Linked DNA regions of Neurospora crassa OR74A. The protein of the gene in region 1 interacts with the protein of each later gene in a pairwise test. Links are inferred from orthologs where the notes say so. Each region holds a gene or a part of one and is shown on either strand. Other genes may lie near its edges. The genes, in order: chs-4, NCU04316 and NCU05720.

The links.
Region 2: the proteins of chs-4 (region 1) and NCU04316 interact in binary tests that used the Saccharomyces cerevisiae proteins (3 or more experiments, as listed by UniProt). The link is inferred for Neurospora crassa OR74A from reciprocal best matches to the Saccharomyces cerevisiae genes CHS3 and KEX1.
Region 3: the proteins of chs-4 (region 1) and NCU05720 interact in binary tests that used the Saccharomyces cerevisiae proteins (3 or more experiments, as listed by UniProt). The link is inferred for Neurospora crassa OR74A from reciprocal best matches to the Saccharomyces cerevisiae genes CHS3 and CHS7.

Annotation. Positions count from the first base shown.
Region 1 is NC_026501.1:4,236,448-4,238,969, reverse strand, and holds the end of chs-4 (chitin synthase 4), read left to right. Parts: coding exon 1-1,098; intron 1,099-1,171; coding exon 1,172-1,635; 3' UTR 1,636-1,913; downstream 1,914-2,522. UniProt on the Saccharomyces cerevisiae protein: Polymerizes chitin, a structural polymer of the cell wall and septum, by transferring the sugar moiety of UDP-GlcNAc to the non-reducing end of the growing chitin polymer.
Region 2 is NC_026505.1:5,592,741-5,596,495, reverse strand, and holds the start of NCU04316 (pheromone processing carboxypeptidase Kex1), read left to right. Parts: upstream 1-1,199; 5' UTR 1,200-1,436; coding exon 1,437-1,624; intron 1,625-1,694; coding exon 1,695-2,055; intron 2,056-2,109; coding exon 2,110-3,540; 3' UTR 3,541-3,755. Other genes in the region: NCU04317 (DUF431 domain-containing protein), read right to left, coding at 1-121.
Region 3 is NC_026503.1:625,330-629,084, reverse strand, and holds the start of NCU05720 (chitin synthase export chaperone), read left to right. Parts: upstream 1-1,534; 5' UTR 1,535-2,246; coding exon 2,247-2,487; intron 2,488-2,558; coding exon 2,559-3,394; 3' UTR 3,395-3,755. Other genes in the region: NCU05721 (arrestin domain-containing protein), read left to right, coding at 1-582. UniProt on the Saccharomyces cerevisiae protein: Chaperone required for the export of the chitin synthase CHS3 from the endoplasmic reticulum.

The DNA.
Region 1 (2,522 bases):
CCAACAGCCACAAGGTTATCCTCGTTATTTGCGATGGTATTATCAAGGGCCACGGAGAGGAACACTCAACCCCCGATATCATTCTCGGCATGATGAAAGACCACACGATTCACCCCGATGACGTTGAGCCATTCTCTTATGTTGCGGTTGCAACTGGTTCTAAGCGCCACAACATGGCCAAGGTCTACACCGGCTTCTACGATTATGGCACTAACTCTGCCATTCCTCTGGAGAAGCAGCAGCGTGTTCCTATGATGATGGTTGTGAAGTGCGGCACTCCTGCTGAAGCCTCCAAGTCGAAGCCTGGAAACCGTGGCAAGCGTGACAGTCAGATCATCCTTATGTCTTTTCTCCAGAAGGTTATGTTCGACGAGCGTATGACGGAGCTAGAATACGAGATGTTCAATGGCTTGTGGAAGATCACGGGCATTTCTCCTGACTTCTATGAGATCGTGCTCATGGTTGACGCTGATACCAAGGTCTTCCCCGACAGTCTCACGCATATGATCTCGGCCATGGTCAAGGATCCTGAAATTATGGGTCTTTGTGGCGAGACCAAGATCGCCAACAAGCGAGCAAGCTGGGTTTCCGCCATCCAGGTATTCGAGTATTTCGTCTCTCATCATCTTGCCAAGGCTTTCGAGTCCGTCTTTGGCGGTGTCACCTGTCTTCCCGGATGTTTCTGCATGTACCGCATCAAGGCACCCAAGGGTGCCCAGAACTACTGGGTCCCTATCTTGGCCAACCCGGACGTTGTCGAACACTACTCCGAGAACGTTGTCGATACGCTGCACAAGAAGAACCTCTTGCTCCTTGGTGAGGATCGTTATCTCAGTACGCTCATGTTGCGCACGTTCCCCAAGCGTAAACAAGTATTTGTGCCTCAGGCCGTTTGCAAGACGACTGTCCCCGATGAATTCATGGTGTTGCTTTCGCAGCGCCGCAGATGGATCAACTCGACCATTCACAATCTGATGGAGCTCGTTCTTGTGCGCGATCTTTGCGGTACCTTCTGTTTCAGTATGCAGTTCATTGTCGGTATCGAGCTGATTGGTACCCTTGTGTTGCCTGCCGCCATTGCCTTTACTTTCTATGTTGGTGAGTAGCCACCAACCCCAGTTTTCTCTTCCTTTCTTGTTTGACCAACTGAAAACTAATGTCCGATACCTAGTCATCATCTCAATCATCAACTCCCCGCCACAAATCATTCCTCTTGTTCTCCTTGGTCTCATCCTCGGTCTCCCAGCCATCCTCGTCGTCGTCACAGCTCACAGCTGGTCCTACATCATCTGGATGTTTATCTACTTGCTCTCCCTGCCCGTGTGGAACTTTGTTCTGCCTACCTACGCTTTCTGGAAGTTTGACGATTTCTCATGGGGCGACACGCGCAAGACGGCCGGCGAGAAATCAAGCAAGGGTGGCCACGGAGAAGCCGAGGGAGAGTTTGATAGCAGCATGATTACCATGAAGCGCTGGGCCGAGTTTGAGCGCGACAGGCGCGTCCGCAGCACGTACTGGGCCGGCTCGAGGGACAATGTCATATCCGGGGTAGGGGGTAGTAATGGGTGGGGAAGCAGCCAGCCGAGAGGCCATGAGCAGGGGAGACACTTTGATGACTACTTTTCGGACGCTTAGGTTTTGATATGGTGTTGCTGTGTAGGGATGCCTTTGTTTTTTTTAAAGTATTACTGTTGTAGGGTAGGTAGGGTCTTTGTTCGGAGGTCAGGTGTTTGTTGGAAAAGAAGGGATCCGATTATCGAACCTGCCGGCCTCGGTTTCTTTTCATCACGTTCATCATGGACAAGGGCGATATTAATGTGGAAGTTTTGGTTGATCGGTTGGCGGGTGGGTTTTCTGTCGATAGGATTAACTCTTAGACATTATTATGTGGAAAAGATTTATTTTTCTTGGCATACATTCGTGATGGGATACCACTTCTTCCGTTCATCTATCCAGTCACAAGAACCGCTCATGAACTTCGCCATACTGCATCAGTAAGGAAGTAAGCACGAGCACATGAGAGCGCCACAATAGGCTGACTACCATGTATGTTTTCCCATATTGAATGTAGCTATCCGAAGGCAGACAGGGGGCAGCTATGTCTACTATCTAGACAGTATCTCTGTTCTGGTAAATTTGAATCGATGTTTGGGAGCACAGAGCAGTTTAGGCCAGGCGAACAATGGGCTAATCTTCCCTCCGACCCTCCTTTTAATAACGCTTTAGAAGTGGTTGCTTGTAAAAGAGGGGGTCACATCATGAAGTGAGGGAGGGTGTAGTGTAGACAGTTTTTGTCAGATATCTAGAACAGAGTATTGGAATGACCTGATCGACCGACTGACTGACTGACGACGCCATTTCTTGCGTAACCTCCGGCGAGAAAACCCAGGTAATAATGTTGGCGCGCCGGAGGGAGGGGGGAGGCGACAATGGTACAAAAGGCAAGGAGAACGGAGATGGAGGGAAGGGTGTGCGAATATCGAATGGCGTGGTAAGCGGCGACGGTCTGTATAACGGCAGGT
Region 2 (3,755 bases), on another chromosome or scaffold:
GATGGAACTCGGAACCGATCTCTTGCGATTCCTTGGCGATAGCGAGGTACTCGAGCTCGGACCAGGGGCCCAGCTCCTCATCGAGGTGCTCGACGATGTAGGTCTTCTTGGTGGCGGCCATTACTACGGTAGCTGGAGTAGGAATTCAAAAACCGGCTCAAAAGTTGTGCTGGGACCAAGATATTCAAGGATATCAAAAAGGTCAAAGTGAGGGTTAAGTTTGTGTGTAAGTGTTTGGACGATCTCACAAGGCCAAGACTAACATTTTCTTGGTGGAGCTTTCTGATGGCTTGGTGGGGTTCTCCGTGCCAAGATGGACGGCATGCCGTAACGGTGATTCAGTTCGGCGATCCGGGCCCGGGTTGCCTTGCCCGTTCTCGGAAGCCGGCCCCGCAATGTCTTATATCATCATTCCGGCAGAGATCCCGGCGGTAGGGGCTGTCCGAACTGAGGGATCATGTACATGTCTGATTGTTATGTCTAATTGTTGTCTCATACACCTGGGGAGAGTGTGGATGAACTTGTAATCGTATATACGAGGAGCTCACGCTTGACTGCCGAGATGAGTCGTGCTCGCGGACAATCGCTCGGTTGTTCAGGTCTGGGCCGATTTTATGAGCAGCTGTTCAGTTCTTGCCGATATCCGGATTTAGAAACTTTCGTCTGATGTTTTCCTCTAGGGCTGCTCTTTGTCAACCATCAGGGAGTAAAGTTGTCGAAGAGGTTTACACTCTGTCAAGTCATGTTAGTGGCTGAATAAGGCTCCGTTTATTCACGTCCAGATGCGGTGCCTGAAGATCTGGAAACAACCTTGGAAGCTCTCATAGCGAGTAAGTTGGTGTGTAATTAGAACTCTGTCCCCGATTCCATAACTATACAATAAGTTCTTGAGGCATTAGAATATAGCAGACAAGGACATTAAGAGTATTATCTTTCGATATCGACATTGCTTAGGTTGGATAATCGAAGGAAGGAGAATGGAACTGGCTTGCGCGTCCATCCACGAGGCGCATGGACTGAGTGACTGCATGGAAGAGAAGACCAGGCCCCCCAGCTATGTGTTAAGCTAGCATACCGGGATCGCCCAATACCACTAACAGGGTCCCTTACTTGTAATGAGATTGCCCCCTGTGAGGTCTAGCTGAAATGGAACGCCACTATCCGTGCCGCAGTGGCATTCATCCCACGTTGTACACTATTGTCCGTCCGCCCCAAGGACAGATTCCCTCTTTACCGTTTCATCCATGGATGCTGTCTCGGAGCAACATCTCGACCTTTTCAGAGTTCCTACAACTTTTGCCGTTGTCGTCGGCCTTCTTCTATCCTCCCCCATGAATGTGGTTGGTGGTGATAGGTAGCCAAACTTACGACAATTGTCTCCTCCTCCATCCCACCCACCACAACTGAACCCAGCGACTTGAGTCCAGTTGGTGATCATGGCCGCCACCACCACTACCACCAATGCTGGCCGGTCTATGGCTAGCTGGAAACGACTGTCGACTCTAATCGCGGCATTCACGCTGTCATGGACATCCAGCTTCGTCGCCGCTGCTGGCTCCGCCGACTACTTTGTCCATGATCTGCCAGGCGCACCAGATGGTCCTCTGGTGAAGATGCATGCCGGGTAAGTTCACTGTTGCTGCGCGAATCCAATATGTTGGGGAACACCAAGGCTGACATGTTCTCACAACTAGACATATCGAGGTCACCCCTGATAACAACGGCAACCTGTTCTTCTGGCACTTCCAGAACAAACATATCGCCAACAAACAACGAACCGTCATCTGGCTAAATGGTGGTCCTGGTTGCAGTTCCGAGGATGGCGCATTGATGGAGATTGGTCCCTACAGACTGAAGGACGAAAACACCTTGGTATACAACGATGGCGCATGGAACGAGTTCGCCAACGTCTTGTTCGTCGACAACCCCGTCGGCACTGGCTTCAGTTATGTCGACACCAACGCCTATATCCACGAGTTGACCGAGATGGCCGCCAACTTTGTTACCTTTTTGGAGAGGTGGTTCGCTCTGTTCCCAGAGTACGAGCATGACGATGTAGGTGCCACACTCTGAACCTCTTCGATTCGTTCTGTCTAACCGATTTCTCAGCTTTACATTGCCGGAGAGTCTTACGCCGGTCAGCACATTCCCTACATCGCCCAAGCTATTCTCGAACGTAACAAGAACGCTGGTCCCGTCAATCGCAAATGGAACCTCTCGGGCCTCCTCATCGGCAACGGCTGGGTTTCCCCCAAAGAGCAATACGACGCCTACCTCCAGTTTGCCTACGAGAAGGACATCGTCAAGAAGGGTACCGACCTCGCCAACAAGCTCGAAATCCAACAGCGTATCTGCCAAAAGGAAATCGCCGTCAAGCCCGACAAGATCGACTACCCCGAATGCGAAGCTATTTTGCAAGACATGCTCCAACTGACTGCTGGCGGCGTCGGCGCCAGCGGCAAGAACCAATGCTACAACATGTACGACGTCCGCCTGAAGGACGACTACCCCTCATGCGGCATGGCCTGGCCCCCCGACCTCAAGAGCGTAACCCCCTACCTCCGCAAGAAGGAAGTCATCAAGGCCCTCAACATCAACGATAACAAGTCTACCGGCTGGACTGAATGCAACGGCCAGGTAGGCATGAACTTTAACCCCAAGACCAAGCCGTCCATCACCTTGCTTCCCGACATCCTCTCCGCCGGCGTTCCCATCCTGCTCTTCTCCGGCGCCGAAGACCTCATCTGCAACCACCTGGGCACCGAAGCCTTGATCTCCAACATGGAATGGAACGGCGGCAAGGGCTTCGAACTCACCCCGGGAACCTGGGCGCCGCGGCGCGACTGGACCTTCGAAGGCGAACCGGCCGGCTTCTGGCAACAAGCGCGCAACCTCACCTACGTGCTCTTTTACAACTCCAGCCACATGGTCCCCTTCGATTACCCCCGCCGCACGCGCGACATGCTGGATCGGTTCATGGGCGTGGATATCAGTAGCATTGGCGGACAGCCTACGGACTCGAGGCTCGACGGGGAGAAGTTACCCGAAACGACGGTCGGCGGCGCAGCAGGGAATAGCACGAGCAACCAAGCGGCCGAGAAGGCCAAGTTGGAGATGGCCAAGTGGGAAGCCTACCGCAAGTCAGGCGAGCTGGTTCTGGTGATTGTCATTGTTGCTGCGGGCGTGTGGGGATGGTTTGTCTGGAAAGAAAGGAGAAAGACTGCTGGGCAGGGGTATATGGGTGTTGCTACGGGCGAGAGACATAGCATTTCTAACAACCCGGGACCTCGTGGGAACCTTAGTGGTGGTGGAGATAGGACGAGAGGTCAAGGATTGGCAGGTTTTAGGAACAAGAGAAGCGGGAGGAGGGATGTTGAAGCGCAGGATTTTGACGAGAGCGAGTTGGATGATTTGCACTTGAGCAAGCCGGAGGACCCGCATGCGGATAGTAGGTATAGCATTGGTGGTGCTAGTGATGATGAAGAGGAGCAAAAACCGGGGAAGGGTAGTTCTAGTAGGCAGCCTGGGGGGAGATCGTGATTAGTTAAGTGGTAGCTCTTGGGTGAAATGTTGACTTGGTTATTCTTATAGACTATCGGCGTTTCTGATATCCTTGGCAGGCAAGCTGGTACGGGTTTTGGCTTGGGTATTTTATGATACAGAAAACATCACACATTTGTGCACAGGACCAACGGTACTATATACAGAGGCATCTAACCTCAACGCGCCATGCAATACTTACACATTACATAAAA
Region 3 (3,755 bases), on another chromosome or scaffold:
CGGGAGTCTGGTGGCTTGCCTGTGAACCGAGCCCGGGGCCACACGCTACCGAGCCCTCTCGAACGGCAACGGCCCATGCACCTTATCCGCTGCCCATCATACAACCCACCGGCATTTGATGCTGACGAGCCCCCGCCGCCGCTTCAAGCCGATTTGATGACGCCGCCGCCCCAATACGACGCCATCATTGGTACGCCTAGTGTTGACGGCCTGGCAGACTATTTTGCCAGGCTTGCAGACTATGAGGACACCGGGCGACCACAGATGGGTGACCGAAGCGGCAGCCAGGAGAGTGTTGCCACAGTGAGAGGCATCCCTAGGCCGACCAGCGGAAACGAAGGCTTCTTTGACTCCAATGAAGTGGTAACTGGCTCTGATTTGCCAGCCAACAAAGACTACGAGGATGACTCGTCAGGAAGCGCGGACGAAGAAGAGGGACCGGTAAGGCCGCATCGTCGTGGCCGAGTCAATGTTGCCAACCCAAGGACACCAGGCGGCAGGCTCATTCCGAGTCGGAGCTTGGAGATTGATCGCCCTGTGATGCGACTCGACATGGGCTCTCTGAATAGTAGGAGGAGATGACTATGATGATGACTTTTAATGACTCGATGTGTGTGTACGGGCACAGAAGTTGGTGTATAACAAGACGGTTGAGCATTTTGCATTGGCTGGGCTGGGTCATTGATAGACGGTGTTTACTTAACCCACTGAAGCATTGTCTGTCTGGAAACACGCATAGAGACCAAGAATGAGGACGGAAGGGAATGGTGGCAATGTCAACGATGGCATGATAACGCATTAAAGACCAGGGCATGAGGCGGCTACGGTGGTTTGATATATCCATTTACGAATGGCGTTTGGGAAGGGATGGTGAAGTGTACAAGAGCAAAGGGAAATCAACTTGATAGCATGGACACGATAATGTTCTTCTTTGTCTGTTCTTCATAAAATGTTACTAAACTGTGTGGGCTTTGCAAAGAAAGTGGTGTACTGGGCTGTGCAGGATGGACGAGATATGTGGTTGACATTTGTATGGCGAGAGCTGACTGAGGGAGGAGGAGCAGAGCACAGGGTATCATGGTTGTAAGTTGTTGGTTGGTTGGCCGTAATTACCTACTTGGTAAAAGAAAAGGAGAGTGTAGAAAGAGTACTCTTGATGTATCTTAAATGGTGATCAGTTCGTCGCCAGTTCCAAGAGTGAGTGAGGCAGTGAATATTCACAAGACGTCAAGGTGAAGATCGTGGAATGGCGTGGAGGTTGGAAAAGGGAGTTTTATATTGAAGATCTTGAAGATCACAAGCCAAATGGACGGAGAAGCGGATGCTTGGCGGGGCGCCCATACTGCTACTTCACTCCACTGGGTCAAGTGATAGTTGCCGATTTGCCAGCTGGATATCCTGGCTCTCTTGGCATCCAAATGACGGGCAGCCAGATGGGGCGGCACCTGGTCATTATTCCCTGACTGTGCCCCGATTCTCCCTTTTCTGCCCGTGGGTCGCCCATCCATCTTGGGACAGCCAGCGCCCCCCCCTCCTCCCCCAGCTGCGCTTCCCAAGGCAGTCAGTCAGTCCCACACAGCGTCCACACTGCACTGGCCCTCAGTTCATCTTTCAGCTTTCCCGTTTCTTACAGTCGCAACGCAACCAAACAACACGGGGGACACGGCGGGGAAGCCTGTTTTCGTTACGCATTTCTCGGGTGGCTGGTCGTCCAACTTCTCTCGTTGTTGTTGTCGTCGTCGTCAAGTCAAATCAACCACCGAAACACATTCGTTGAAACATCTTCATCAACACTTTCGTTTTCGCCAATCAATAGGTATTCTATCGCGTATCCGAATTACACAGCGCGCTTGTCCGACCTTCGCTCAACGGCAACCTCTCGTCTCTTTCCCGCCCATTCCAGACTCGGGACTATTTTACAGTAGCACAGACTCCACTAGGCGCCCGTCTCACTTGAACAAACCGAGACAAGAATACAAAAAGAGACACAATCTTCTCCCTAATCTCACGCACCTTGATTATTATTATTTTTTTTCCCTCCCGCGACGACAGTTCGAGTTGTCGAACCTGCCGAGGCCGTGAATTGACACCGAGCCGACAAATCCCCCTGTCCTCTCTCTCGGCCCCGCCCCGTTGCGTCGCTTTTTCCTTTTTTTTTATCCCCCGGACCCGACGACACCCACGAAGCCCTCGCCGAACGACGCTTAGCTTGACCCGGCCCTCGACGGCCTCATATATCGCCAACCATGGGCAAATTCGGAGATTTCAGCAGCATATGTCGCATGGCGCCTATTCCTCTATGCGCGTCAGTTGGCCCGATAACATCGATTGCCACCGGCGTCGGCATTGAGCCGGACTGCTATGCGCGCAACATTGAGGTGGCCAACACCATCATCTTCCAGGGCGCGGCAAGCGTGATGCACATTGTTGCTCTAGTCATGACGGTGGTCATGTTGTTGCATGTGAGGGGGAAGTTCACTGCTGTCGGTACGTCTTCTTCAATTTCTCGATTTGGCATGGAGGGAATGCGTGTTAACGAGAATAAATGTGTCCAACAGGCCGCAAAGAAATCACCACCTTCTTCTACCTTTACATGATCCTCACCTTCCTCTCCCTCTGTATCGATGCCGGCGTCATCCCCCCGCACTCGGGCTCTTACCCCTACTTCGTCGCCGTGCAAGCTGGTCTCGCCTCCGCCCTGGTCACCTGCCTAGTGATTAACGGCTTCGTCGGCTTCCAGCTCTATGAGGACGGCACTCCTCTCTCGTTATGGATGCTCCGCCTCTGCTCCTTCGTCGCTTTCGTCATCTCCTTCCTCGTCGGTCTCGCCACGTTCAAATCCTGGGCCGGCTTGGGTCCCACCAACACCGTCGGCATATTTGTCGTGCTCTACTTTCTCAACGCCCTCCAGCTCCTACTCTACGTAGTGATGCAGATCATCCTCGTTACCCGCACTCTCCAGGACCGTTGGCCTCTGGGTGACATTGCCTTCGGCCTCTTCTTCTTCATTGCCGGCCAAGTCATCCTTTACGCGTTCAGCTCGCCCATCTGCGAGGGCATCTCGCACTACCTGGACGGTCTCTTCTTCGCCACGACGTGCAACTTGCTGGCCGTGATGATGGTGTACAAGTACTGGGACTCGATCACCAAGGAGGACTTGGAGTTTTCGGTGGGCACGAGGATGAACAACTGGGAGGTCAAGGAGTTGCTGCCACAGGGTCCGGAGGAGGACAGGAGGGCGACGGTCTATGCGGATCCGATTTACGAAGGCCATTATGCTTCCGGGCCCGGAACGGGAAGTGGTGCGAGCGCCAGCGGTTATGAGGGAGGACATCACAGACGGGAGAGTCATGGGTATACGCCTAGTCCCAACAGGCAGTCCTTGAGGTATTAGAACGCCTAAGACGGCCTGGGACATGTTGAGGGAAAAAAACAAAAAAGAAAAAAAAGTGTAGAGAAGGAGATGGATGTTATGGACAGGGAAAGGGATGGATTGTGGATGTGTCTTCAGACGGTTGATTGATACCATGTGCTCACGGCACTCTTGTCATGTTGCTTGCTTGTTTTGGTTGGGCGGGCGCAAAAATGCATAACGCAGCTATCTTTGATGATTTTCGGTACGGGGGTTTTTCTGGTGGGAAAGCAGCAAGCGAAGCATTCCCAACAGACAGCGTGTTGGTAATTCATCAATTTTTTTTCTCCTTTTTTTCATCTTTTTTTCTCTTCCTTTTGGTCGGCGTTAATGGCATTTCATC